Linked DNA regions of Callithrix jacchus. The protein of the gene in region 1 binds, or shares a complex with, the protein of each later gene. Links are inferred from orthologs where the notes say so. Each region holds a gene or a part of one and is shown on either strand. Other genes may lie near its edges. The genes, in order: KCNQ1 and KCNE3.

Evidence for each region.
Region 2: the proteins of KCNQ1 (region 1) and KCNE3 are in contact, whole or in part, in a cryo-EM structure (PDB 6V01), measured with the Homo sapiens proteins. The link is inferred for Callithrix jacchus from reciprocal best matches to the Homo sapiens genes KCNQ1 and KCNE3. Residues at the interface, in NP_000209.2 of Homo sapiens: Arg116, Pro117, Thr118, Gly119, Trp120, Cys122, Phe123, His126, Phe127, Phe130, Leu134, Leu137, Ile138, Val141, Leu142, Ile145, Gln147, Tyr148, Arg181, Met238, Val241, Asp242, Gln244, Thr247, Lys362, Asn365, Ile368; in NP_005463.1 of Homo sapiens: Asp54, Asp55, Asn56, Ser57, Tyr58, Ile61, Met65, Phe68, Ala69, Val72, Gly73, Leu75, Ile76, Leu77, Tyr79, Thr80, Arg81, Ser82, Arg83, Val85, Lys87, Asp90.

Annotation. Positions count from the first base shown.
Region 1 is NC_133511.1:129,005,781-129,020,021, forward strand, and holds the end of KCNQ1 (potassium voltage-gated channel subfamily KQT member 1), read right to left. Parts: intron 5,893-14,241; coding exon 5,656-5,892; 3' UTR 4,632-5,655; downstream 1-4,631. UniProt on the Homo sapiens protein: Pore-forming subunit of the voltage-gated potassium (Kv) channel involved in the regulation of cardiomyocyte excitability and important in normal development and functions of myocardium, inner ear, stomach and colon.
Region 2 is NC_133511.1:66,455,464-66,470,432, reverse strand, and holds the start of KCNE3 (potassium voltage-gated channel subfamily E member 3), read right to left. Parts: upstream 6,395-14,969; 5' UTR 6,241-6,394; intron 6,057-6,240; 5' UTR 801-6,056; intron 467-800; exon of another isoform or gene 332-466; intron 1-331. UniProt on the Homo sapiens protein: Ancillary protein that functions as a regulatory subunit of the voltage-gated potassium (Kv) channel complex composed of pore-forming and potassium-conducting alpha subunits and of regulatory beta subunits.

The DNA.
Region 1 (14,241 bases):
TCAGCCCACCTGGAGTTTGCAGCATCTCGTCCTCAGGTCCGGCCTCTCCAGCCCAAGGTCCGGCAATGCCAGCTCTTGCTCTCAGCCATTCAGTTCCTCCCTGGCCTCTGGCTTCCTGGTTGACCTACCGACTTCTCTGCTATTGGAAGTCCCAGTGCTTCTCTGAGGCTTTTCCAAAGCGAAGTCACAGAACAGGTGTTGCCCTGGCCCGGCCTTCCCCTGCCTTGGTCTCCCCGTCTGTACCAGGTGGGGACCTCACGAGCTCTAAGGCCTTTCTGCGCTGGGTCTCTCCCCTCGGTGTGATCTGTCTTTGGACACCTGTTACCTCCTGGCCATGGATTTGCTGCTGCCGCCGCCAGCTTCCCAGGCCACAGGCCTGGGTGGGAGGCGAAGCTGAGCTTGGTTCCCTGAGCCTGAACCTCCTTCCCTGATGCTGCTCGGCTGTGATACCACAGAAAGACCACAAGTATCCTGCAGGCTAGAAAGGAGTGTGCCACGGGGAACGTGGTAGAGGGGCTGGTGGTGGGGAGAGGAGAAGGTGGGGGGCTTCCAGAGTGTGGGGTCATGCAGCTGGGGGTCACTGTACCCAGGTGACAAGCCCTGAACTCCGTCTTGGCATTGCCCCCTGCGTCTTGGGGCCACTCCCAGGAAGTGGAAGGAGTTGGGTGTTTGAGGCCCCAGAAGGCACCAGGATGGACTCTGCCCACTGAGCCATCCCCGGACACCTCTGGGCCCAGCTTGTGTCTTCTTGGGCCTAGGGCTCGCTGCCTGGACACGTGTGAAACCCAAGCCTGGGGACAGGTTGGGGGCAGGGCTTGGCTTGGCTCTGGGAATAAAGGGCACCCTTGTCCCCTCTGGAAGCCATGGATGAGGGTCTAGAAGGAAGAGGAGGGGAGGGGACCGGAGCATTCCCTGGAGGCCAGCAGGGCTGCCTGGGGCTGGGCAGCTCACCTCCTCCACCCTCTGCCTCGCTCAGGTGCCTTGAGTTGTGGGGGCTTCAGGGCAGGGGAGTTGCAGGAGGCTGGTGCCTCGCAGGGGTGCTGAAGGGAGGGCCAGGCGACACAGCCAGGGCCAGGAGGTCACAGCAGGATCGACAGAGAAGGATCTTGAGGTCAACAGGCCTCCTGTTACACAGCCAGTCCCTGGGTGGGCATGGGCTGTTGCCTTGGCCTCTAAGGCCTTGGGATGGGGTGGCAGCCCCCAGCCCTCCTGTCCTGCCTGACTGCAGGCCCTCTAGGCCTCCTCCCTGAGGCTTCACAAGGAGTTGGAAAGGGCTGGGCTCCACCTGTCAGCTTCCAGGGGTCCTAGCCCTTGCTGTCTGCATGCAGAGGCCAGCAGAAACGGAAGCTCTGTTTGGCTCTGGCTGCCCCCAGCATACTCCAGGCCTGGCTGCCAGGGACTCTGGCTAACCTGGGTGGGGACGCAGTGGCCCAGGGACAGGGAAGGTGAAGGGTGCTGAGACACAGGCCACAGGCCTGATCTCCCAACTCGCTGGACCTCCAGGGCCACAGGAATAGGGCCAGAGGCAAGAGCAGGGTTGGTCTGTCAGGGGCCGAGAATGGTGAAGCTGAGACACGCTTAAGATCCCAAGGAGCCCCTGGATCTCAGCTGCTTTTCTGTTCCCTCCAGCAGCTGTTCGGCTGCTCCAGATCAAAACCCCTGGCCAGACCCCCTCCTTCAGGGCACAGGTGTGGGCCCCTCTCCTGTCCCTTAGAGGGATGCCTGTTGATGCCCTGCCTGGGTCCTGGTACCTCTGCTGCACATGCAATGGGGGGCAGCCTCCATCTACATTTTTATTTTATTTCTTAATTTAACTGGCACTTCCTGGGCACCCAGCTGGGGCCAGTCCTGTAATAGGCACTGTTAGCCGCCTGCCTGTTTTTGGGGCCCAAAAGGCCTAGCACAGACCCTACACCCCAATGGTGGGCCTGACTCCTGACCGCCATGCTGGTGGGGGGCTGCCTGCCAAGATGGTGCTCAGAGGTGGTCCTGAGTGGGGAGGAGGACGGTGCCTCCTGGGAGCTTGGGGCTGGACATCAAGTACAGGGTGAGGCAGGAGAAGCTGGGCTCCTGGCAGGGGATGCCCAGGGTGAGTGGCAGGGTTGCAGCCTGTGGGACTTCACAGGCCTGCTTGGCAGTGGGGAGCCACAGTTGGCTTGGGAGCAGGATGGGGAGCTGCCAGCCGGACAGCTCTCCCTGGCTCTGAGGGGCAGGGAGCTTGGTGGGGTGAGGCTGGATGCAGGAGGGGCCTTGGGAAAGAGCTCCGAGGGGTCAGGCTGGCCAGGCAGGAGTGCCTTGAGGAGGCAGAGCCCAGCATCACCCACCCAGGTGGTTTGCCTGGCTTCCTTTATTAAGTCCCTGCTGTGTGCCTGGCCTAGGCCCAGAGCTGACATGTCTCACCTCCATCAAGCCCCTGTCCGTGACACCCCTTCCAGTGGCACTTTTACTGTTCCCCATTTTGCAGACAGGGTTGGGGTGGGAGGCGAGGGGCTGCAGGCAGGCCCGGCCCTTGCCTCCTCCTCCTGGCCCCCTGGCCAGAAGATGGGAGAACCTCGGGCTTGGCCAGTGCCAGCCATGGAGACTGGCTTCCTCAGGGACACGCCCAGTGTCCACAAGGGGCCATCTGAGGGCAGGCGATGGGGGAGGGGAGCCTGGCAGAGGAGGTGGGTGCCCAGGAAGCAGGAGCAGCCCCTCCCCCAGCCACCCCCAGCAGATGCTCCTGGCACCTATTGGACCCCGAGGACCTTAATAAGGGAGCCCAATTTGGAGACAAAGCCCTGCTCTGCGGACACACACTCTCGGCTGTCCTCAGCCAGAGTAGCCAGGCAGCCGCGGCGAGGCCACAAAGGGCCCGAAGAAAGGGGCTGCGGGAGGGGCCGTGAATGGGCCAGGGCTGCACATGCCACCGTTACCCGGGCGACGGCCCTCTCTCGGAGAGGTCTGCCGGGCCATTGTCCGGGGCCTGCAGGACGTGCCACACACCAGATGGTCGTGTGCTGTCTAGGTCACTTATCGGGGGACAGAGTGAAGGAATGTGGCCGGCATGGCGGGCTGAGGCGCCATCTGTTCCCTCAGTCCACGGGCACCAGCGGGCATTGAGTGCCCGGCCGGCTGGGCCCAGCCTCTACCAAGGCTTTAATTAGCTAATTCCATAATTGGGCTTTATTTCAGGTAAATTGCATTTCACACCCGAGAGGGCTGCAATGGCCGGTCCAGGAGTGGAGTCTTCGGGCACTGTGCACAGTCCATAATACGGACAACAAGGCGGGGTGGGTGCCGGGGCCTCGCCTGGCCCAGATGGGCGGTCCCTCGGAGCTCCCTGTGGGCTGGGGTCCCGGGGTGGGCGGCAGGGGCTGGGGGGCCCGGGCGCTGTGGAGGGCTCTGCTTTCCGGCCGGCATCCGGGGTTTCCACAAATATTTACCCAACAAGGAAACAACAGCTCCTGCCTTTTCAGTAACTGTGGCTCCTGCTCCTCCCGGGTGGGTGCAGGCAGGGGAAGCCTGGGCAGCCCCACGCTGCCCCTCCACCTCTTGCGTCCTGCTCAGTGCTGGCCAGGCCGGATGCCAAGGCCCATGGGTGGGGGCATGGGCCCAGCAGGCTCGGCACCAGGTGGGACCTAGGGCTTCTCCTCTGACAAGGCTTCCATCCCCACTCCAAACAGAAACCTGGGGCTCCTGTCCCCGCCACCTGCTGCTGGCTGCCTGCTGCCTCCAGTGGACCCAGGACAGCCCCATCTTTGAGAGCTCAGATGCCCCCAGTCCTGATGGCCTGGGACTTCGGGGTGGGCTCTGGAAAGAGGACAGAAAGGGGTTGCAGTCTTTTTTTTTTTTTTTTGAGACAGAGTTTCGCTCTTGTTACCCAGGCTGGAGTGCAATGGCGCGATCTCGGTTCACCACAACCTCCGCCTCCTGAGTAGCTGGGACTACAGACATGCGCCACCATGCCCAACTAATTTTTTGTATTTTTAATAGAGATCGGGTTTCACCTTGTTGACCAGGATGGTCTTGATCTCTTGACCTCGTGATCCACCTGTCTCGGCCTCCCAAAGTGCTGGGATTACAGGCTTGAGCCACCGTGCCTGGCTGGGGCTACAGTCTTGAAGGATCAAGAAATGGTCCAGTAGCTGAGGCGCGGGCACAGCAGGTGCACCTGCCTGGCTGAGTGTGTCCGTGTCTGAGAGTGAGGTGCTGTTTCCACCTCAGGAGAGGAGGGCTTTGCAAAGAGCTGTAACCACTAGGTCAGGTTGGGTGGATGGGGTGGTGGCCCCTCTGTCCTGCTCAGAGGACTGGACAGGCTAAGGGAGCATTGTGTTACCAATGGGGAAACAGAGGCCCAGAGGAGGACAGGGGTGAGCATATGGGAGGCCCAGGGGTCAAGGCCCAAGGGTGGGCTGCCAGAGCCCAGGTCAGGAGCGACATCGCTGGGCTACAGCCTACACTGGCATCTTGCAGCCCCTCTGACCCTGGGGGTCCTGTCTGTGGGTGCGTGGGGTCTCCTGGGGAGGAAGCAACCTACAGTCCCGCAGGCATCAGCAGGAGCAGGCTGGGGATATGGAGGTTGAGCCCCATGTTGTCCCAGAGACCCCGTAGATGCCCCAGGAACCAAGGTGAGAGCAGTGCCCAGCCCAGCCTGTGATTCTCCATGTTTATTAGGAAAAGCTTGCACAATTAATAATCAAAATCACACCGTGAAACTCATTAAAACACAGATCCAAATCACCACAAATTACTGATTTCTATGCGATGTAATGCCCAGAAGGAACCCTTGTTCCCTGCAGAAACCGTGACTCTTCAGCGGCTCGGCAGCTGGCGAGGGGATGTGGCAGTTCCCTTCTGTGTGTTTGGCTGGCTGCTGGACTGGGTGAGGGGTTGGAGGCGGGAGCCCTGTGCAGAGCGGGCTGGGGGGTGGGGGTTGGGGGTGGGGCTTCTCTCTAGCCAGGAAGAGCTGCCAGTCTAAGACAGGGAGGGAAGGGGGCATTTCCCACACTCAGCCTTGTGCCCTGGGGAGATGGCGAGACTGTCCCTCCTGCCAGAAGCTGGGGGCTCAGGAACAGCCTGCACAGTCCCCTCCTGCCCATGGGGGCCGGCATTTCCTGAGAGTGAGGGAGCCAGCCCCAGGACCTCTGAATGGGCCCCTGGGCTTTTATTGCCAGTGGCCCTGTAGTCAGTGAGGGCTGGTCCTGCCCTGCCTGTGCCTGGCAGGGTCCTGAATTTGAGGCTGGGGTCCAGGGGCTGCTCTGCCTCCCCTCAGGAAGCCCTCTGGCCCGAGCAGTCTGGGTCTGTGCTCAGCTCGTGCCACTTCCTGGCCATAGGTGGGCCAGGCCTGGTACGCTGCTGATGGGTCCCAACCACCATGCCAGTGATGTCAGCATCACATGTGGGGGCCAGGGCAGTAGGGATGAGAACTCAGGCCTGAGACGGGGCCCCCCACACCCAGCCAGCTTCTAGTACCCACCGGCCAGGAAGAGGTGAGCTTGCTGAGCCCCCGGGCTCAGGCTGTGCAGACAGCAGGGCCCACGGGGTTTTGGGGCCTATGAGAGCGGGGCTCCTCTCTGGGCCTTTCAGGAGGAAGCCATGGCCGTGTGGTGCCCCCCTCAGAGAGGGCCAGGTGGGGCCACTCTTCGCCACCCCTCTCAGGCCCACCCCAATCCCCCATCAGGACCCCTCATCAGGGCCCCTCCTGGGCACGGTCAGCTGCTCATAGGTGGGTAGGGCGCTGCTGGGCAGGAAGAGCTTGGGGTCGATGGAGCCGCCACTGCCGCAGGGCGGGGTGATGTGGGCTCCACCCTCTCTGGGGGGGCTGCTGCCGCCAGGGGGGCCGCCTCGGTGCAAGGACAGCAGCTGGTGAAGCATGTCGGTGATGAGTACCAGCCTCTGGTCCAGCTGCGTCACCTGTGGGGACAAAGGCAGACGAGAGAGTTGGTGGCAGGAGGCAGCCTCTGGGCTTGGGCTCGGGGCCGGGGAAGAGAAGGTGCCAACCGTCTCTGCTGTGTGCAGGCGGCACGCATGTGTACACCCTATGTCTGCAAGGCCCTTGGTCACGCCCATGTGTGTGTGAGGAATGTGCACGTGTGGCCACTGCAGTCCATCTCGTGCATGTCAAAGTGCCTGTGTGTCCACAGGCGTGGAGGCTCACGGTCAGGGCCCTCCTCTCCTCCTCCTGTGCCCCCTGGGGCTGGCTCAGCATCTGTGCCATATCCCTACATCACAGGGTCTGCACCAGGGACCCAGACCTGAAATATCTGTGTTTGTGGCAGCCTTTGGCTTCTGGAGGCAAGGCTTAGGGTAAGGGTCAAGGGAGGCTGGGGCCTCATCTACTCAGTCTGGAGGAGAACTGGGCAGAGGGCAGAGCTCAGCAAGGCTGGTTCATGGGCAGGGCCTCAGGTGGTTGAGAAGGCAGAGGCCTTGGGCTCTGCCTGGTGTGTAAGGGATACCTCTACTGGGCCACTTCCAGGAGGGGCTTGCAGACCCAGGGCTTGTGCCTCTGCGATGCTCTCTGCCAGGGGGTAGGGTGGGGCTGTCACCCCCCAGGCACCGCTATACCATTTCTTTAACCTGCTGGGCACTGCTATTTTCCCAGATGCCTTCTGCATCCATGCCCTGTGGCCAGGGCAGTGCCCCCCAGCGCACCCTCTGGCTAGCTATGTGCTCTTCGCCTTCTCAGGGACTGCTCTGCAGTGAGCTGCGTGTTGGGGTGGCCGTGCAGCAAAGGTGGTCAAGGCAGGACAGAGCCTGAAATGAAGCCGGCTCAGAGAGCAGGTGCTCAGAGGCCTCGCCGGGCCTCGGAGTCAACAGAAAAGCCCCAGGTGAGTGGAGAGCCAGGTGGTCTGAGAGCTCCTTGGAAGGACAGCACCGCTGGGGAATGAGGCTGGAGCCCGTCCCCAGGTGGGAAGTGGCCATCCAACCTTGATGGGGAGAGTGGGAGAGCCTGTCCGGCAGGCCAGCACCCTCAGAGCAGGTGCTGGGTGGAGCAGGGCCAACCCCAGGGCAGACCAGTGCAGGGGAGGGAGTCCAGGTTGGGGACCCCTCTCACCAGGAGGGTGGACCTGGGGCCCCAGCATGAGTGTGTCTAGTGGGGACAAACAGCTCTGATGGTGGTCACAGGAGACAGGGCTGGGCCTTCAGCCTGCAGCGTTCTTACAGGAAAGCCCCTCAGCAGCATGCTCTGTGGAGAATGAAGGAGACCCTCCCCCACCTAGGGTATCTGGTGCCTTGGAAAGGCCTAGAAGTGGTGGAGGAGGGGCAACCAGATCACACCTGATAAGGGCTGAACAGCAGAGCTGCTTCTGGGAAAAGTGTGGCTCTGCGGAAAGGCACGAAGATGACTCAGCCACAGCGTCAACCACTGGCCCTAAGGACAGGCGGCAGGCGGGAGCTGGGGCCACCTGGCTGTGCATTCTCCATGTCTGTACCCCAGGCTGCTCCGGGCAGGCCTGGCCCCTTGGGGGCCCGGCCCCCCTGCAGATCCAGCCGGAAAGGCTTGGGGCAAGGTGTGGGCCAGGGCTGGATGCTGTGCGGGTGAGACCACCCGAGGGAACATGCTGCTGAGTGTTGTGGGCACGAGCCCCGAGGTGGCCAGAGAGGGAGCAACCAGTTTGCCAGGGTCTGGGCAGGCCCAGGCCAGCTTCAGAGGCTGGGTGCTGTGGTCATCAGCCCTCCCCGCCACCATGGAGGCTGAGCAGTGTAGGGGAGAGGTGGCCAGCAGGGCACTGTGAGAGGCTGAGATGAGGGGGCTCCTGCCAGAGTGGGGCCAAGTGTCTGTCTAGAGGGCTAGGTGGGCAGCCTCCACCTGGGAGGTAGGACTGTGCCCTGCCCAGAGCACGGGCCCAGGGGACCCACTCCCAGCCCTGGGTGGAGGGGGCTGTTGGATGGAGGCTTCCAGCTCCCCTGCAGTTCTGTCTTCAGATATGGGCTGTCTGAGACACCTCTGTCCCAGGCCCAGGGGCAGGGGCACGTCCCAGGTCTGATGGTCCAGGCCAGAGGGAGCCCCATGTTTTATTTTCCCCAGATCAACCTGATGGTGTTGATGTGAAGCCCAGGCTATGTAGGAAAGGGTGCAGGGCTTCCTCGGCAAAGGGGCAGGGGCCAGGGCCCTACACCAGGCTCCCTCACAGGCAAGGACCAGCCAGCGCTTTAGTGCCCTGAAAAGCCACTTGGGGACCAGCCACAGAGGTCTACACCCCATCGCACAGATGCAGACACTGAGGCCCAGGAAGAGGGCCAGGGTCACTGCTGAGGGTACCATGGCTCCCATCTTTTCCCTGAAGTTCCTGCCCCGAGTCTCCATCTGGAGACCACGGAGCTGCCGTGGCAGGGGGAGGAGGGACACAGGGTAGGTGACAGGGAGGGAGCTGGGGACAGCAGAGGGCAGGGTGGGGCGGGGCCTCTGGGAGGGGAGACAGCCTGAGGTCTTGTTCTCGTTCACCCACACCCTGGCCCCTGTGGCTCCCGCTGTCAGCAGGCCCAGCCCTCTGAGTCCCACAACCTGCTTGTGCATGACAGGGGCATGGGAGGTTGCCCGGTCTTCAGGGTGCACAGGAGGAAACTGAGGCCCAGAGACCTATGAGACCATAGCGGATCAAAGGTGCAGCCAGCCTGGGTCTTCCAGGGCAAAGCCCAGCTTCTGTGTCCTAGGCCCACCCAGCTCCCTGGGCCCTGTATGCTGGTAGCGCTGAACGAGGTCGGCTCTGCCTGGCTTACTGTCACTAACTGCGCAGGCCCCAGCTTGGGTATCGATTGGTTTGGCATTAATTAAAGCACCAAATACATCACAGATGAACATTTGCGGTTTCATAAATTTTCACTTTACGGCACTTGAACATCTGTCCAAGCCCACATGTGCTAATGGGCATGGAGGCCTTCACAAGGGATGCTTGGGAGGGGGGCAGGGCCACGGGCAGGGTGTGCAGGCTGAGGGTGTGGCTGAGCCACCTTGGTGACAGCTCCTCCCGGCAGGGAGCCCTGGCACCGTGGAGAGAGGCACTCAGCCACCTTTGGGGTAGGGAGGCAGCCACAGGGCCACGCTCGCCTCCGACTGACACGGAAGCTCTCGCTGAAGCTGCCTGGGCCAGCATCAGCACATACCCGGCTCTGGCCGGTCCCAAGCTCACCTCAACTGCTGCCTGTGGTGCCTGGGGCTTTGAGGGGCTGGCTTTGGGTTTCTGGCCCCAGAGACATGCTCTCATGATCCTGACTGCTGGAGACAAGGCCCCGGCAGTGGGCCAGGATGTGGGCTGGAAGCCCAGGGCGGGTCCACATCTGAGGCATCAGGATGCTGCTCCCATTATGGGAAGGGCCCAGGTCTGGGCTAAGGGTGGCTCCTCTGCAGCCCCTGAGGCTCAGCTCTGACCCAAGCACTTGCCATGGCATGGGTCCCTGAAGGCTCCCACCCCCATTCTGCATAGGGTACCTTTGTCTTGCAGGCATATTTGGTTTTGGTGGTGATGCAGGAGCCTGAGAGGTACCCCGTGTGGCCGACACCGGACCCCACCCACAGGAAGGTGCATCCCGGCAGGTGCCATCGGAGAGCTGCCGCCCTTGGGGAAGGCAGTGCCTGCCCGGGGCATGGGGGCTGGCTCCCCAAGAGCTGCTGGGACAGATCAATTTTGGGGATCTCAGCCCCCGCCATTATTTGCAATTTGATAGTGATTAAAAGGCAAGGCAGACAAAAGCTGCTTTGTGCCCAGCCTGCACTCACCAAATTAATAACCATAAGATACCTATGCAGCCCTCGGAAGAAAAAAGCAATTAGAATAACAGCTAGTTAGGGAGCCCCGGGCGGCCAGCGATCAAACCCAAGGCAACGGGGATTCCTGTTTGATGTGGTTATGAATTTGTTTTCAAAAGAAAATCTTGAAAAAGAGTCTTTCAAGGGAAATTTTTGCAGAACCTGCCTGGCCTTGATCCCCGCCTAGGACCGCCAAAGGCCCCAGTCTCGTGGATGCCAGACTGGCCAGGGACAGGCAGGAGAGGCCGGGCACACCCATGGCTCCCAGGGTGGGGCTCCTGTGTTCTGCCTGGGCCACAGCTCCCCAGGGTGCAGCAAACTCACTGCTCCCTCTGGCATCCTTGTTGGGCAGTGTCTAAAGGCCAGGCAGGGCCTTCCCAGGGCTCTCTGTAGGGTCACAGAGCAAAGGTCACCTTGGCCCTCCTCCTGTCCACTCTGAGGAAGTTACTAAGCTCCCCTCACAGTGGTACCCAGAATGTTGAATACCAGGCTCTGAGCAATTGGATGCCAGCCCCGGCTCGAGCCGGGCACGAGCGGCAACAGGTCACAGCACTTGGTAGCTCATGGCAGGGTGCGGCCCATCGTGTTTGATTTTGCTTTAGTGCTTCAGTTCTTGCGTGAAAATCGACCGTGTCGCTCATGACCGAGGTTTTACTGTCGGGCCTGCTGGAACTTGCTGTGCTGTGGCCAGTGTGAGATGGCCTCAGAGCCTGGCACACCACTGCCGGGCCTTGGGCACACAGGCTGGCCGGGGCATGACACCTCCTCGAGGGAGTGTGCAGCAGCCTTCTTGCCGTCTGATCCTGCCACTGCTGCTTCCTGGTTGGGTGACCTTGGGCGAGTCACTTTGCTTCTCTGAACCTCAGTTTCCCTGCCTATAAAGTGGGGGTGGCTGCAGCCCCTTCCCCAGGAGGATGCTGCGGGGATCAAGCAGCCTGACACACGAGGACACCAGGGACAGCGTGGAGCTTGGTGCCTGGCGAGACACCTGGCGACCATGATCATTAGGGAGTGCTCCAGTGCGCACATACAGTCACACATGTGTGCCTGGCAGCTGGGGCCAAAGGAGCATTGTCGTGCACACGGGAGGCATGCCGGGTGAGTCTGCACATGTGTGCCTGTGGCTCTAGAGTGTGGGAGACTGTGCACGAATGTGAGGACCACCTGTGGTGGTTTTGCACAATTCCCTTCACTTCCCATCAGGTTCTTCTCTGAGTTGCCCAAGGGTGCACCTGCCTGTGCCCCCAGGCCCCTGGGCCTTTGCATGTGCTATGGCAGTGAGCAGCCCCCGCCCCCCTCACAGGAGTTGGAGTGCTGCTGGGACAAGCGGCAAGTCCCACAGCAGGGGTGCGTGGGCTGGTGCCAGGGGTCCTCTCCCAAAGGGGAGACAGATGGCACTGACTCTGGGACCCATGGTCACCCACATACCAGCTGCTCCACCTGTCCCCTGCAGCCCTCGACTGGGCAGTGTCCAAGCTGGGTGAGTCTTGACCCAGAAAGTCAAGCACAATGTGGCAGCCACTGTGCAAGGGCTTGGGACTGGCGCTCATGGAGGGGCTGAATTGGCAGGCACTGAGCTGAGCTGAGTGTGTCTGCTCAGGCTGCAGACCACAGCCTTGTCCTCGCTGCCATCCCTGGTATCTTGCTGTTGTCTGCCGAGCAGCCAGAAGAAGCCCTGCTGAAGCTGGGGACCCACACCACTCATGGTCAGTTATATCCCCAGCATGTCCTTGGCACAGCACGACCACATGGTGGAGGCCTGGTCGGCACCACCCCAGCACCCTTCCTGGGGCTGCAGCTGCCAGGCTGGCCCTTGCAGACCACCCCCCAGGAGCGGGGTTGCTTCCCTCTGAGAGAGGGCCAGGATGATGAAAGACCTTTCCCCCTGCCGCCGACACCTGCTTTTGCCAGCCCCTGCCCACCGACCATGCTTGGCCTCCCGAGGGCCTCAGGGGCGCCACGTCCCTGGCTGACCGCTGTGGGAGATTCTCAGGACCATCACACACAACTCTGGTTCCCTTGCTGGGACCTCTGCGAGGGCTTCCCATCAGCTATTTGCTTTCCCCAAGGGCTCCGAGGCATGCCGCCCAACAGCCTGGAAGGTTATCGTGTCCCAGCGGGAGCTCATTCCCTGCAAGCCGGCCCGAATCCTGCACCCACAGGGTGTGACCGACTACTCAGGCTCCCTGTGTGCACCTGGTGTCTGTGGCTCTCTGGTCTGGAGTGTGTGCTCTGAGCCTACTCCCAACGGCCCTTGCCCAGGCTGGCGGCATCTTCTGCCTGGACTGTCACAACCCCCTCGCCGTGTGGCTGTGCCCCCAACCCGTCCCCACGTGTTCCAGGCAGCAGCCAGACTGAGTTTTCCCTCCCGCGATGATTTGCCAAATTCCCCTGCAGAATTCCCACTGCACTGGGAGTAAAACCCAGTCTCCTGTGTGTCTCCTCCACTGGCCCCTCCCCAGCACTGAGTGTGACCATGTTGGTCGAGCACTGGGGCCTTTGCCCCCGCTGTTCCCTCGGCCTGGAACACCGTCCTCTGCTGCTTTGTGTAACCTTAGCTCAAAATCCTGGGTGGCCTCCCTCGTGTCTGTCCCCACGGCCCTCACCCTCCCAGAGATGGCCTGGTTATTGATCTCCTCGCTTGCTGTTTTGCCACCAGCTGGAGGCCCAGCTCTAGGCCACGCGGTCACCATCTCAATTCCAGACAGTCTCCCAGAGCCTGGAGCCTAGAAGGTGCCCAGTAAATACGTGGAGTTGGTGCTGCACAAATATCTGTTGAATCAGTAAATGAGGCCCTGGCCAATTTCCTGGGGCGCCAAGGCTGGCGTGAAGGGGTACAAGCCCCCTACGCCCACTCCCTCCTAGGGCGGGTGCTCAGCAAAGATGAGCTTTTTCGTGTTCACTGATTTGTAAGGACTCTGCACGTCAAGGAGACGTCAAGTACGCATCACACACGTTTTTCCCCAGTGTACTATTTGTCTTATGAGTGGGTTTATGGCATTTGGTGTTTTTTTTGCTTTGTCACACAGAGGTTTTATGTTTTCAGGTTTTCATGTGGTCAAAGCCATCCATCTTTTCCTTTCTGCCTTCTGACCCTGTGCGTGCTGGGAAGGGCCTCCTCCGTTCCAATGCCAAAACGTTGTTCCTAACACTTTCCTGATTTGTGTTTTACCCTTAAATCTTTGGATCACATGGGATTGATTCTGACCTGAAGGCTTACTTTTGTGGGTTATCCTCTTGATACCCCACCATTTACGGAATGAGCTACCCTTTCCCCACTGGATTAGGATGTCCGTTTTGTATATCATGGACCCTGAGCAACACAAGTCCACTTCAACATGGATTTTCTTCCTCCTCTGGCACCGAGATGGTAACAGCCACTCCTCCTCCTCCTCCTCAGCCAAATCAACATGAAGATGATGAGGACGGAGACCTTCACGATGATCTGCTTACACCGAGTGTCTTTTCTCTTCCTTATGACTGGCTTAACGTTGCTTCTCTAGCTTACTTTATTGTAATATGTGTAGCATACAAATATGTGTTAATTGACTGTTTATGTTACTGGAAGGGCTTCCAGTCAACGGGAGGCTATTAGTGAAGTTTCTGGGCAGTCAAAACTTATACTCGGGCTTTCGCCTGGGCAGATCGGAGGTCGGTGCCCCAGCCCTGTGCTCCTCGAGGGTCGACAGCACAAAGTTCCCACGAGTCTTCCTGTACTGTGGAGACTACACGGATCTGCTCTAACGAACACTCTTGTACACGCTTTGATGCTGGCAGCCAGGGCCCTGCTCTCTGGAGGTGAGAGACGACAGGCTCATCCTGGTGTCCAGCGGGGGAGTGGCAAGGGCAGCCGGAACCCACCCTCTCCCAGGCGACCTCATAACCTCTCTTTGCATCTCCCTGGTCAGAGAGGTCTTGCTCCTCTGCTGAGAACTTGGAGAAGCCCCCTTTGTACCCTGAACAAACAACGGAGTCTGTATCGTGGCTGTGAGAGCCAAGGGATCCCAGCCCCTGCTGCCTCCCCTCCCCCAGCTGGCTCCAGCCACCGGGGCCTCCCCTCTCTTCCTCTTGGCCAGGCCAGCTTCCTGGATTCTCCCTCGGCTCAGCCCTCACCTCGTCACAGCCCCCAGGGGTCTGTGTGTGCCGTATCCGCTGACGCGAGCCGGTGCCACGTGGCCTCATGCTCCTGGACGCTCAGCCACCCCCCTCCCTCTCTGCATCTGGGTTGGGGCTGACATTTGTGCCAGAGACGGAGCTGTCACATCCACAGTCTCGCAGCCCTTCGGAGGCTGCTCTGTGCGGACATTTGTGTCAACTTCAGGGTGGCGACAGAGATCATGGAGTCAGTGGCAGAGCTGGGGGGGAGGGCCCACGTGGCACACCACTTTCTGGGTGGCATTAGAGCCCCTTTGCCCTCTTCTCTTGGAAGGGGCCTGGGCAGCGAGGCTCAGGGGCACACAGAGGCTAGGGAGCTGCCTTGCTGCCCAGCAGGTGGGCAGGGGTGGGGAAGCCCC
Region 2 (14,969 bases), about 63 Mb from region 1:
CTGGAGAAAATCATTCTCAGCAAACTGACACAAGAACAGAAAATGAAATACCTCATATTCTCACTCATAGTCGGGTGATGAACAATGAGAACACGTAGACACAGGGAGGGGAGCACTACACACTGGGGTCTATTGGGGGGAATAGGGGAGGGACAGCTGGGGGCAGTTGGGGAGGGATAGCATGGGGAGAAATGCCAGATGTGGGTGAAGGGGAGGAAGGCAGCAAATCACACTGCCACGTGTGTACCTATGCAACTATCTTCCATGTTCTAGACATGTATCCCAAAACCTAAAATGCAATAAAATAAATAAAATAAAATAAAATAAAAAACTAGCCAAGCACATGCCTGTATTCCCAGCTGCTCAGGAGGCTGAGGCAGGACAATCGCTTGAACCCTGGAGGTGGAGGTTGCCGTGAGCTGAGATTGTGCTACTGTACTCCAGCCTGGGCAGCAGAGCAAGAGTTCTGTCTCAAAAAAACAACAAAAACAAAAACAAACAAAAAACCACAAAGAAAGATGATCATCCTTGCCCTCCTCCTTCAAGGCTTGCTGTGAGCATACACTTGTATTATGTAGAAGAGGATTAAATTAAAAAAAAATTTTTTTTTAGAGAAGCAAATATGTACATGTAGGTTAGAAGAAAAAAAGGAATGGACACAGCACATATAGTGAAGGTGAAAGCTCCTAGTCATCCCGAGCTCCATCTAGGGGAAGGACCATTCAGTTTTCTTAGGTATCACTGGAAAGGGGCTTTAACTGACAGGGAGAGGGAGGGAAATCTGAGTGTGGAAGACTCACCAGACAGCTGACAAATCCGCTGGCTCTCAGTCAGTTTCAGGCTCTCTATGTGGACACCCTAAGGCTCCTCAACCCCCTAGCCTCTTCAGGATGTCACTGGACACATCTGGGGTCTCAGTATTGACTTTAGACCTGGGAAAGCCCAGAGCTGGAAAGCAGGAGAGAAAGAATAAAAGGAAGGAACCAGTTACAAAGCACAAACTTCAGAATCGGAATGGATTGCCCAAGGCCAAGCCCCAAGGGTTGTGCAATAGTCCCGCTGTGCCTCTGACCTCTCCCACCGCTCCTCCCCTTCCTGCAGCAGCTGGGTCAGGCCAGCCTAGGGTTGCAGTTAAAGGAACTATGCAGTGTCCAAGGGGCCTCTAATTGCTGTCCCCCAACTCCAGACTCAGAGTGTCTTCATTGGGTGACTTCATGAGAAACCTGTTAAACATGTGGACTCCCATTCAGGGGCCAGCTGATGGTGCGGCCTGAAACGTTCCCTTTCTTAAGGGTTACCATAGCAAGGGCCTTTTAGAATCCTAAGGGAATGATGTGAATGGGAGAATGCCTGCTGGCAGCTGAGTTGATATTTTACATAGGAACAAATGATGTGTTACCACCCAATCTATTTGGATGGACAGGGTATGAACACTCAGAATGAACACTATCTGTAGCATAGCTTTGATGTGAAAATTAAAAAACATGATGTAGTGCTTGGCACTAGACAGTACACAGATGGTGGTGGCTTTATTTTTGTAGAGCAGAGGCTGGAAGGGCCTTCAGAGCCCTTCTAGGCTAAATACCCTCACTACAGAGAAGGAATGGAAACCCAGGGAGTTGTCCCAGTTCAGCAGCTCCTTGTGTGACTTTGGACATAGACTTCCCTTTTCTGAAGGGGTTCCAGTTGGTTCTAACATCCTGTGATGGTATGAAGCCACATGATGAGACCATGAGAAGTTGGAGAGGCTGGTGGGAGAGGCATCTTGGGGGCTTTCTAGAGCCTCTCAAATCCCAAGATAGAGAAGGTTGTGGACCTTTTCCTCACTAGTTAAGATGCTTCTGAGCCCTGGGACTAACTTACACCTAATATTCCAGCTGAGCTAAAGTGAGGGACTTACTCATTTTTCCTCTTAACAGCTTACCCTGCAGGGTGATCTAGCCTAAGGAGGAGATAGACCCTGCAGAAAGTAGGGGAAAAGGCCAGTGTGGAGGGCAGGGTAGGCTTTGAGGCAGGGTTCCATGAGGGGAATAAAGACTCAGGAAACCTTTCATGCCTCAGGGCCTCTCTGAAGAGACCAGGATGTTTGTGATTCTGACAGGAGGACAAAAGAGGCCATAGTTCCATATCTCCAGGTCCTGGGTTTGTGTGGGAGGGAGGGCCTGGGTGCATGGGCCTCCTGTCTGAGTTAGGAGAGGCAGAAAGCTGATGAAGTCATAGGTTGGTTCTCTATGACCTGCCTCTGGGGCTCAAGCTGGGGACTGGCAGTCATCAGCAGAGGAGTTTTGCCACTGTTTCCAAGCTCCTTGGCTTCCTTCTCCAGGAGAGTCCCTGATTACCAAGCTCCTTGGATGGGGGAGACGGAGCTCCTGCCCTGGAGAGGGCTTGCCTTGAAATGGAAGATAGGCCAGTGAGGAAGGAAGGTGAGCAGATGGCCAATCTGAAAGGGACTTTAAGGATCATCTAGAATCTAGATACCGAGTCAACCCCTCCTTTTCATAGATGAGGAAACTGAGGCTCAGAAGGGAGAAGTGACTAGTCCAAAATTACATGGCCCATAAATGGCAGCACTCAGACAAGAACCCAGGTGTTTGGGATACTGTTCAGGTGCTCTTTCCACTACAAACGGCAGTGTTCCCTCGCATCAAAGCTTCACATCACACCAGACACAGCCTCTTAGGGTTGTGGGGCATCATCTCCTCTAACTCTATTACTATAGCCTTTTCCTGCACCACAGATTCTTGCCAATCTTAGTTAAGGATCCAGTGAGATGGAGGTTGGTAAGCTTGGGAGGAGGAGTTAGCCTTCCTTTATGCTCTCATCTCCCATGCACCCAACTGCTCCAGACCTACTCCAGATTCCCCAGATGAGCCAGGTCACTCTCTGTTCCTGCTATTTCCCACACATTAACCAGTTCTCACAAAATGTACTTGTCTTGCAGTTGTTTAGCTTCTAACTTGGAAGTTGGGGGATGAAGCTGTGATCTGAAGGATGGACTGGGGATCTTAGCGGGGTTTTCATTCAGGTTGCTCTGGAGAAAAGTGAAACTCTACACTTGGGTCTTTCCCATTGTTCCGTTTTAGCTACTCTTTCAAAATGAGAGTCTTCAGTGTCTGGAAATGGAGTAGAGAGGCAGGTAGAAAAAGATCACATAAAGCAGGTAGGCAATCCAAAGACAGCCCCTGGGATGCACAGTTTTGCCTCTGTCCCCTTGGTGGTCTTATCCCTCCTGCGGACTGGAGAGCTGATGGAGTGGGAGGGGAGTTAAAGGAGTAGACCTTAGCATCCAGTTGGAAGGACACAGGAATAGAATCTGAGCTGGAAGAGATCTTCACGATCATGTTGTTGGTACAACTCCCTCACTCAACCAGTGGAAGAATAGACCCTCTTCCCCAAGGAAATCACCTGCTTAAGGTCTCACAGCCCAGCAGTGGCAGAGCTGGAGGCAGAAACCAAGTAGCTTATGCTGTTTTCTTAAACGAAAATGCCCTTCCTCTTTTGACCTGCCTGGCAAACTCCTACTCATCCTTCAAGACCCAGCTCCAATGTCATCTCTGTAGATTTTCTCCTGGGACACCTCCTTCCCCACTCCCTAGCCAGTTAGTCTCTCCCTCTTGTTTGTTCGTTAAAGTGCTTTGCACAAAGCCTTATTAGAACACTATACTGTACTGAAACTGTGTGTGTGTGTGTGTGTGTGTGTGTGTGTGTGTGTGTGTGTAACTGTGTACTTTGAGGTATGAGGGTAGGGTCCTGTGCTTCATACATTATTTTATTTCCCAGCCCGGATACCTAGCAGGCATTCAAGAATAAGAATAAATGAATCAATGCCACTTCTGTAAGTGCATTCTCCTGCTCTGGCACATGCATATACATTCATGAAAACAGCTTACAATATTTAAAAAGCAACCTCCAGATTTCATTTGGTCTGGGGAAGGGATGGCTCAAAGAAAAGAAGCCATCTCAGTCAGGTGGGGTGAGTCAGAGGAGGAAGAATTCTAAGCCTTCTTTGGAAGCCCAGACGCTTTCTGTAACTGGACCCCATTCAATCCAAAGGGCAAACATTCTTGGCTTCAAAACACCAGCAATGGCTTTGTAACCCTCTTCCCTGTGTACCTACCCAGGGTGTGGCCACATACACCTGCCCACTGCACACACACACAGTCCAACTCTCGGTCCCTCAGCCTGTGATCTTGCCTTTCAAGTGTTCCTTTCATGATTCTAATCTTGGCTGTATGCTTGGCTCTGTGTCCTTGAGCACTGCATTTACTTCCTCTGAACCTAATCTATAAGTTGGGAATAATGATCCCTGCCCTGTCTACCTCACATGAGAACTAGAGGAGACAATAGTTGGGAAAGTTTTAGAAACTGCAAAATACAAGATAACTATCAAGCAGCCTGGTCACACTGTTTCCTTTTCTGTCTCCACATCTTTTCTTTCCCCCTATATTACCAAGAACAGCCATCTCTATGTCTCCTTTCTTACCCCAGCTCTCCTAGCCTCAGAAGCAGCCAGGAGGTTATTATTACTATTCTTGATTCCCAGAAACCTCAACTTCACCAGAAGGCTTCCTTGTTTCTCACCCTCTCTGATCATCCCTGCAGTCCCTTATCATTGAGGGGTACCATTCTGTAGTCCTGTAGCTGGTGGAGAACACATCAGAGAGGGAATCAAGAGACCTGGGTTCCTGCCCCTATTATGCCAACACATCTAGCGGTGGATTTTGGTTAAGTAACTTTATCACTCTAGGCCTCATTTTCCTCATCAATAAGATCAAGTTTCTTGTCTTGCTTCCCTTGTAGAAGGTATTTTAAGCACTCCCACATTAACTTTATGGATGTGCTTTAAGAAGTATGGAGTGAGTGAGGGATGGAGAAGGGTTGAGGTTATCACCTCAAGGAGTCAAGAAACTGAAAGCAGTTTCCAGAGCTCCAGCATGGGTCTCCTCCATCAGGAATAGGCAAAGTGGAGGCATACAAGGAGATGAGGAGCTCACACAATTACAATAGGCCTTTATAGGTGAAGTGGAGAGAGCCCTGGGCTAGGACTGTGGAAACTTGGGTTCTAATTCTGTCTGGTCGCTATTGCAACCTTTGGTAAATCGTCTCCCCTGGGGCATCAGTTTCTCTATATGCAAATTGGTAGAGTTGGGAGGGGATTTTAGGAGGAGATACTCTGGTGGAGTTTCAAGCAAGGACTAAACTCATTTTTTTTTTTTCCTTTTTCTTTTTTGTTTTTTTGAGACGGAGTCTTGCTTTGTGTCCAGGTGGGAGTGCAGTGACCCAATCTCAGCTCACTGCAACCTCTGCCTCCTGGGTTCAAGTACTTCTCCTGCCTCAGCCTCCCGGGTAGCTGGGACTACAGGCACGTGCTACCACGCCCAGCTAATTTTTGTATTTTTTAGTAGAGACAGCGTTTTATCATATTGGCCAGGCTGGTCTCGAACTCCTGACCTTGTGATCTGCCCGCCTCAGCCTCTCGAAGTTCTTGGATTACAGGCATGAGCCACTGCACCCAGCCAACTCATTTATTTTCAGGGTAAGAGACTCCCAGGTCCAATCCCCCTTTCCTCTCCTGTCCCATGGAGTATGCAGGCAACAGGAGCAGGAGGCCCATTTTACAGATGGTGACCCAGGAAAAGCGAGCACAAGGCACAGAGTGGAGGGGTGACTGCCCGGGTTTACACAGCCTGTAACTCAAGTCTCCCGACTTCCAAACTCAACCTATGTTACTAGCAGCAGAAGATGCTTTTGGGAGTCGCCTGCTTTCCCCGGACTAGGTCAGACAGAGTGAGGGACACAGTGAGGTAGAGGGAATGGGCAAGTGGGCTTCGCAGAGCCAGTGGCTCCGGCCAAATAAGACTGCACTGCGTCCTGAAGTGTCGTTTCTGCGCGTGCACTGGCTGCCAGACGCAGATGTTCGCTTGCCTGTCTGTGAGTGTGGAGGAACTTTTCTCGTCACCGTCTTGAGGGCTGGGAGTGCCCGCGCAAGTCCCCACAGATTCCAGGCGGGGCGCGCAGATCCCAGCTCCCGATTCCCACTTGCTGCTCTGGGATCACTGTGGTTGGGAAGATTGGGGAGGGTCCGGGAGGACTGGCTCAGTATATGCAGCACCCCCCACACCTACCTCGGGTCCACAGTCTCACTGAGAGCACGCTGTGGCCCTAGGAAGGGAGGAGGGAAGACCCTTCATTTCTACCCCAGGCTGCAGCTCAACCTTCCCAGCTCGATGGGTGCCTTACCTGCCTCTCCGCAAGGCTTCGGGGCGCCCGTTTGCTCGCTGGATACAACGCCCTCTGACCGAGGGTGGCCGGGACGCTGTGATCCTGTGAGCTCCACCAGCCCTGGTCCACTCGGCGGGCGCCCAGCACTGCGCAGAGCACCCTCTGGCTCCGCGTTCCCACCCGCGTGCGGCTCCCTTTTCCCTCCCCCGGGAGTTCCCTCCCCCGGCCCCGCCCGGGCTCCAGCACACCCACTTCTCCCCTGGCTGGCCTTGGGTGCCTCCGCCCAGCTCCTTTGCCCTCCCCCAGCTGTGGGCTCCGACTCTTCCGTCCCCTGCAACGGCTGTTTCCTGGCCCAGAGACCGAAAGCCTCACGCTCCGCTGGGCCTCAGCAAGCCCAGCATGAGGCCGATCACCAGGAGTGGGCTTTGCTCCAGTGTGGCTGTGTGGCCGTGGGCGAGTCGCTGCTCCTCACCAGGCCTTGGCCTCGCTGTAAAGTTGGAACAGTTCCTGCCTGCATTCTTCACAGGCTTATGTCTGGGATCAGATGAGACCTTTGAGTCCGCAGTACTAAAACCAGAGGGTTAACAGCGAGATAATCTAATTCTTCCAAAAACGCTCTTTTCCACACAGGATGCAGAAGGCCCAGTGGGAGAAGAGACATGCCCAAGTGGCAGAGCCCAGACCCAAAATCCACTACACACCCCTCTCTCTCTGCTTAGCACGGGCAGATGTTTCCTCCCACCAAGCCCCAAAAGTTCCTAACAGTGCCTGACCAACTTGTGTTGGGGCACCTTACTCATCTCTGCCCCAGAACAGCTTATTTTCCCACCACACTGCCCTCACTCAAACTGTTGTTTCCTTGCTGGTGACATTGCAGGCTTCAGAGAACAGGGGCAGCCAGGGACAGCTGGGGAATAAGAGCCAGGAGGCTAGTGGCAGAGGAAGGGACAGTTGCAGGGAACGGTCTCCCAGGGACCCTGTGGAGCACCCTTTTACCAGCTCACTGCCTTAGAATAATTAATAACAGCCTCAGGCCAGCTCTCTCACTCCCTTTCAAAGGTCTGCTTCAGGATATCTGAGGCACATACCCTCAATTACAGAATCTCAGAATATATCTTAGAAGTGCTATCCTTTTTAGACCTTCTACGAGGTGGCTATATTGTACAAAATTGCTAATCTTCCTCAAAACATGTTAGTTCCGTATTCTATAATTACATGTTTTGACCCAACAATTCCTTTTTCTCAGTCTGGAGATCAACTCTCAGAGAAGTCATCCTGCCCACCTAAGGATGCAATCTCAATTTTCTTTCTCTTTTCTTTTCTTCTCTTCTTTCTCGCTCTTCCTTCCTTTCTTCCTTTTTTTTTTTTTTTTTTTTTTTTTTTTTGAGACAGGGTTGCATTGTGTCACCTAGGCTGGAATGCAGTGGAGTGATTATGGCTCACTGCAGCCCTGAACTCCTGGGCTCAGGTGATCCTCCTGCCTCAGTCTCCTGAGTAGCTGGGACATGCCACCATGCCCAGCTAATTTTTGTATTTTTTTTATAGAGACTGGGTTTCGCCCTGTTGCCCAGGCTAGTCTCAAACTCCTGGGCTCAAGTGATCTGCCCACCTCCACCTCCCAAAGTGCTGGGATTACAGCACAAACCACTGTGCCTGTCTTGCAACCTGTTTTCAATCTGCCTAAAAATCACCTGGGGAGCTTGTTTTAGTAGATAGACTGTTGGGTTCCACTCCAGAGGTTCTAATTCAGGAAATCTGGAGTGGAGCCCAGAAATCAGCATTTTAAAACAAGATTCCCAAATGACTCTGATACAAATGGTTCTTGAGACTAGCCATGAGGAAACAGTCCTGGTTCAGTCAGGGTTCCTTCTCATATCCTGCACATGGCCTTGTATTTACTCTGTAGGACTGTTTATGACAGTTACTGAAAGTCTCAGATCCTGATCCTAGATTAAAAAAATAAGAATAAAATATTTTTTAAAAAAAGAAAGTAACCGTTATCCACCTCATCTGCTAGATTGTGAGTTCTTTGAAGATAGGGATTGTCTTTTGCGCTAATAAAATCTTAGAACCAAAGTCTTAGAATTGAATCATCTTAGGGTTCTAGAATGTAAATTAAAAGGACTCTCAAGAGTTTCCTAGTCAAATCCCTCATAAGCCTAATGAATCCTTTCTATTTCTTTATATTTGGAGATATATCACCCAGGCTGGAGTGCAGTGGTGTGATCTCAGCTCACTATAGCCTCTGCCTTCCAGGTTCAAGTGATTCTTGTGCCTCAGGCTCCTGAGTAGCTGGAATTACAGGCATGCCACCATATCCAGCTAATTTTTGTATTTTTAGTAGAGTTGGGATTTTGCCATGTTAGCCAGTCTGGTCTCCAACTCTTGATCTCAAGTAATCTGCCCGCCTCAGCCTCCCAAAGTGCTGGGATTACAGGTGGGAGTCACCACGCCCCGCCTCTATTTCAGTTTTGGCATGAGGCTGTCCAGCTTCTCTTGCATACCTCTAGGGAGCTCATTGCCTGCAATGCAGCCAGACAGCTCTGATTGCTAAGATGTTCTCACATTTTAACAAAAACTGCCTCCTGTTGACATCTACCCTTTGGTTCTTGCACCACTGGAGACATAAAAAAATGAAAATGGGTATTTAAAGAGAGTGTGGTGAGGGTTTAGGAAATCAATAAATAGTGCACTATGTCTGGCTAGCAACAGTGAGGATGGAAACTACCTGGGCTGACAGCGCAAGGGGAGGAAGGGGTTACTGGAACCCAGAGAGGGCAGTGGTCGGAAGAGCATCCAGGTTGGAGCTGTGGTCTTTCATAGAGGCTAACCCACAGGGAGACAGCCGGGAGAATAAGTACCTCTCCCTCCCTCCCCTTCCATCCTGTGGTCTTCTACCACTGCCTCCTTTTGGCTCAACCCAGATGGAAGCTCCAGAGCCAGGTGGCCCACTGTGGGTGGAGAAGGGTGGTGGGCCCATGCAGGGACAAGTGGAAGGATCCAGCACTGGCTGTGCAGCTCTCAGATGGGTGGGGTCCTTCCCAGTTCCTTTTCAGCCTGCTCCAGGCGAGGGGTAGGAGGAAGGAGTAGGAGAACTAAGGAATGTGGGAGGAGGCTGCGAGCTTGGGTTTTCACCCCAGACAGGATTAGGAGGGGGACACCCACATGCTCTCTGTCATCTCCAGGCCTTTGCCTATGCTATTCTCTCTGCCTGGAACACCCTTCCTCCTGGAGCTGGCTAACTCACCCTTAGATGCTACTTCCTCCCAGAAATCTCCCCTGTCCTAAATTAGATGCCTTTGTCTGTGTCCCCTGACTGCTCTCATCCCACTAGTCTCCCCTTTTTCACATGTATCATCCTGGTGTGGGTCCCTTTTTTGGGGGAGGATACAGTCTGATATGGGAAGAATGGCCCCAACGTCATGAGCCTCCACATGGTCAGAAAAACATTGCTCTCACTGGGAGAGACTCTAGCCCAAGAGAGGGCAATAGATGGAGCGGCCCCTGGGGGGAAAGAGTGCTGTTTGTTTTTTAGAGCTTCTAATCTTCTACCTCCAAAGTCATCAATATTTAGAAAGCAAGCAATAGATATGGGTATCTTTACTGGAGCTCTGGCTGAACCCACAGAGAAAGGAGGGATCCTCTAATTATTCTTAGTGAAAAGAGACCACCTGAATGTTGCTGACACAGGCACAAGCCAAGAAAGGAGTCAGCCAGGGATCACAGGCTCTGGGACCTGGACCAAGTCACTGCCTCACTTTGAGCTTCTGTGTTCCTCACTTGCAAAACAAGAATTGTGGTCCTGCAAATCCCGCAGGGTTCCAAGGAGCAAATGGACACATGGCTGAGAAGCCACTTTGAAAACCATGAAATGCTTATTATTGGCTTCCCCTCAGATTAGGAGCTCCTGGAAGGAGGGTCTGTGCCTCAGAGGTTATAGACATTTGTTATCCTGCCTAAGTAAGTAGGATAATGTGGCAGCAAAACAAAACACAAAGTGTTGACACTGACTTAAGCTTTGTTTTTAGAAGAATGTGTTTGAGGCTATTTTGGATTTTCCCAGAAGCAGGCCCTGGGTCATGGATTTGAGCACAAGTGGTTCATGTGTGATGTGATCCACGGAAACACGATTAGGGGCGTGGGAAGTAAGACAGGAGAGAATGGAGCCTATAATAAGGTGTACGCTTAGCAAGCTTAGCCCTGCTAGGGAACCCTAGAGGCCTGGGTATAACACACATCCAGAGTTACCCTCATTGGAGGCAAAGGGGTAGGGGAGTCAGTGCTGCCCCTTATCTAAAAGATACCCATATCTATTGCTTGCTTTCTAAACATTGATAAATTTGGAGGTAGAAGATTGGAAGCACCAAAAAAGGGCTGCTTGGGGGACACGAATTCTTTAGCACATCTAGCCAGATACATGGGTTGACAGCCCCAGTCCCTCCAAAAGTCCTGAGACAAAAGGTGCAGATCCTGGCAGGTGGAAATAGACCCTTTCCTTTTCTTTTCTTTTCTCTTCCTTCCTTCTTTCTTTTTCTTTCTCTTTCATCCTTCCTTCTCTTTCTCTTTCTTTTCTTCCTTCCTTTCTTTTCTTTTTTTACCTTTCCTTCCTTCTTCCTTCCTTCTTCTTTCTTTTTCTTCCTTCCTTCCCTTTCTTTTCTTCCTTCCTTCCTTCCTTTCTTTTCCCTCCCTCCCTCCCTTCTCCCCCCCCACTTTCTCTCTTTCTTTCTTTCTTCTTTTGATAGGGTCTCACTGTCACTCAGGCTCCAGGCTGGAGTGCAGTGGTGATATCTTGGCTCATTGCAGGCTTCACTTCCTGGATTCAAACTATCTTTTCACCTTAGCCCCCCAGGTAGCTGGAACTACAGATGCACACCACCATGCCTGGCTAATTTTTGCATTTTTTGTAAAGACGGGGTTTTGCCATGTTGCCCAAGCTGGTCTCAAACTCCTGAGCTCAAGTGATCCTCCTGCCTCGGCCTCCCAAAGTGCTGGTATTACAGGAGTGTGCCACTGCATCCAGCCTGAAATGTCTATTTCCAATAGACATTTGAAATGGCACTGAAATGGAAAGGCTAGGGGAATATACATGGGGCACCCAAAGCACCTGCTCTAGTCTGGAGCAAGACAAGCACTTGATTTCCCCAGAACAGCTTCACAGCTCAGAGACTCTCATGCTGCTGCTTCTGCCTGGAACATACTATGTCTTCTTATCTATCCCCAAATTCCTTACTTATCTTCTGAGGCCATAGTGGACATCGAATGTTTTGGCCTTCCCAGAATTCCTTCTTTTGGGAATGAAATGTATCTCTTCCCTTTGGGGAGTCACCTTTCCCTCCCTGGCTCTCAGCCCATATGGTTCAGGTGGGGCTAAGTCCCATCTGTTGGTTCCAAGGAGGTCGTGACCCTCCTTAGAGCAATTATTTGTCCAGAATCCTTCCTGGGCCTTTGGCTGCATGTATACGAAAGTAGGGGTGGCTAAGCTATAGAATTTAAGTGTGGTGTGAACAGCAGCCATATTTGGCACCACACAGGAAAGAGTGAAGCCAATTTTGAGGTCAGCAGAGCTAAGGGATAGAGAAAGAAAAACCAAGTCCTGATGCCATTGTTTGAGGCCCTGGATCAATCTGTTCCTGAAGTCTATCCACAGTCATTTCAGTTATGAGATCTAAATATTCTCTTTTCACTTGAACCTAAAGTTCTCACTAATTCAGTGTCACTTTGAGCCTTTTCTGCCCTAATCCTCCCTTTTAAGACTTTGCATTTCTTTTATGTCCCCACAGTTCCCTATGCAAGCTTCTCTCAGTGTGTGTAACACTTTACTGCACGTGTTTGTTTACAAGTGTGTCTTCTCTACAAGACTGTGACCTACTTGAAGATGGACCAAGTTGAACCCATCTCTGCCCTCAGGGTCCAGCACAGGCTTGAACCTGGCCAGACCATACCATACATGTTGTCTTCAACTCCAAGCTACATAGATTAAGGGCACATTAGTCAACTGGAGCCTATGGAGATAAGGGCAGTGGTGTGCGGTCTGGAAGCCATGAAGAACATAAGTAGAATCAGCAATGCTTAACTTGAAGAAGAGACCACTTCTAAGATAGAATTCATTTCCTGATTCCACAGACTGTTTCTGGACACCTCCTCTGTGGGAGGCCCAGGACTCGGGGCCGAAGAAGTTATGGATGACATAGAGCTGCCTGGAGAGCTCACGGTCTGGATGGGATGAGGCATGGAAACAAGGAACTATAATAGAGTGTGGTCAGTACCACCAGAGAGGGATGTAGAGCATGGCCAGGGATTTTTCAGAGGTCTTGCGAGGGGGGCAGAATTATTTGCCACAATGTTAGTGGCAAATTTCAGTTTTGGGGAGTAACTGTCTAACGATCAGAACTGTGCAAGAATGGAAGGCTGCCTCAGGAGGTAGTAAATGCTCTCTGTCTGGAGGTGTGTGAGCAGAGCTAGGAAAACCACTTAACAGACTGGATATATGTTTTTTCTTTTTTATAATTTTGTTTTCAAATTGTCTATGTCTTTTAATGCTGAAGTATGTTTTTTGATAACATATAATTGCTTGCATTTATAAAAGGTCAACAAATGCTGCCTTTTAATGAGAGTATTTAGTCCATTTACATTAAATTACTGGTATGTTTGGATTTGTCTATCACAGTATTTGATTTCTATTTCTATTTTCAGATTTTCATTTCTCTGCCTTTAATTAGAAAATTATTTTTATTCAATTTTATCTTCTACATTAATTAATTATCATTATTAATTTAATTTGTGTCACTTCTATTGAATTTCTGCTTAGGTCCATTTGTCTTATTTTTGGTGGCTGCTGTGTAAATGCATATGCATCTTCTTTTTATCATAGCTTGCCTGCCAAAAATACTCTAGTGCTTAGGAATAGAAGAATCTTAAAACAGTATATTTACTTCTTTTTTTATTTTTGATACAGAGTCTTGCTCTGTTGCCCAGGCTGGAGTGCAGTGGCACAATCTTGGCTCACTGCAACCTCCAACTCCTGGGTTCAAGAGATTCTTCTGCCTCCACCTGCCAAGTAGCTGGGACTGCAGGCATGTGCCACCTCTCCTGGCTGATTTTTATATTTTTAGTAGAGACTGGGTTTCACCATGTTGGCCAGGCTGGTCTCAAACTCTTGACCTCAAATGATATGTCCGCCTTGGCCTCTCAAAGTGCTGGGGTTACAGGCATGAGCCACCATGCCCAGCCTTAAAACAGTATACTTCTAAATACCACCCTACTCTCTTCGTGGTCACATATTTTACATTCATATGTGGTATAAATTTTACATTATATAGTATTATTTTGACTTTATAGTAGTTATGTTCTATAAAGTTGTCGAAATTGTGAACACTGAACTATGACTCCTAGAGGAAATGAAGAGTTAGGTTCCTGCTCGTTTCTGGTCACAACATTTTCTTTTTTCTTTTTCTTTCTATTTTTTTTTTTTTTTTTTGATGTGGAGTCTCACTGTGTTGCCCAGGTTGGAGTGCAGTGGTGCCATCTTGGCTCACTGCAAGCTTTGCCTCCCAGGTTCAAGTGATTCTCCCACTTCAGGCCCCGGAGTAGCTGGGATTACAGGTGTGTGCCACCACACCCAACTAATTTTTGTATTTTTAGTAGAGACGGGGTTTCACCATGTTAGCCATTATCTAATAAGATAATGCATCTAGGAGATGATCATCACAAAAGAGAGAGAGAAAAAAGCTTGATATTACATGCCTCTTACTGTAAGGACACACTACCACTTAGCAGCAGACATGCAAAAAAAAAACGAAAAGCAACAACAACAAAAACAACACCTGAATCAGACTAAGCCCCAGGAGCTACCTCTCAATGTTCAGGAAATGTACAAGACAGACAGACAAGTGAAATGATACCAGGAGGACACAATGAACAAAATCCAAAACTTGACAGGACAAACATCTGTTTCTTCAACAAATAACAAGAGGAGCAAAGATAAAAAGATGGAAGAGGAACTTACAGATAATAAGAGATTTCTCTGGGAGGCCAAGGCGAGCAGATCATGAGGTCAGGAAATCGAGACCATCTTGGCCATGGTGAAACCCTGTCTCTACTAAAATACAAAAAATTAGCCCTGTGTGGTGGCAAAGAGAGATTTAGGAGACATTTGTGAGACACATGAACCAAATACAGTGTCTAGATCTTGTTTAGATCCTGATTTGAATAAAAAACCTGTTTTAAAAAAAGTTTAAAAAAAAGCAATTTGAGAAATGTGAATATTAACTGAATATTTATTAATACCAAAGAAGTATTTTCTACATGTAATGATGATGTTCTGGTTAAAGAGTTTAAAAAGAGTTGGGTATTTTTGATTTTTTTTGTTTGTTTTTGAGACAGGGCCTCACTCTGTCACCCAGGCTGGAGTGCAGTGGTGCAATCTCAGTTCACTATAGCCTTGACCTCATGGGCTCAAGTGATCCTCCCACCTCAGCCTCATGAATAGCTGGAACTACAGGTGTGCGCCACCATGTATGGCTAATTTTTGTATTTTTTATAGAGACAAGGTTTCTTTTGGGAATACATATTGAAATATTTATAAATGAAATAGTATGATATCTGTTATTTGCTTCACAGTGATCTAGGGGGAGTTGGGAAGTGGGTACCAGTTTAGATAAACTCATCTGGCTGTGAGTTGATGGCTTTAGCTGCATGACAGTCATTATTGTATGTTTAAAATATTTTATAATAGGGCCGGGCGTGGT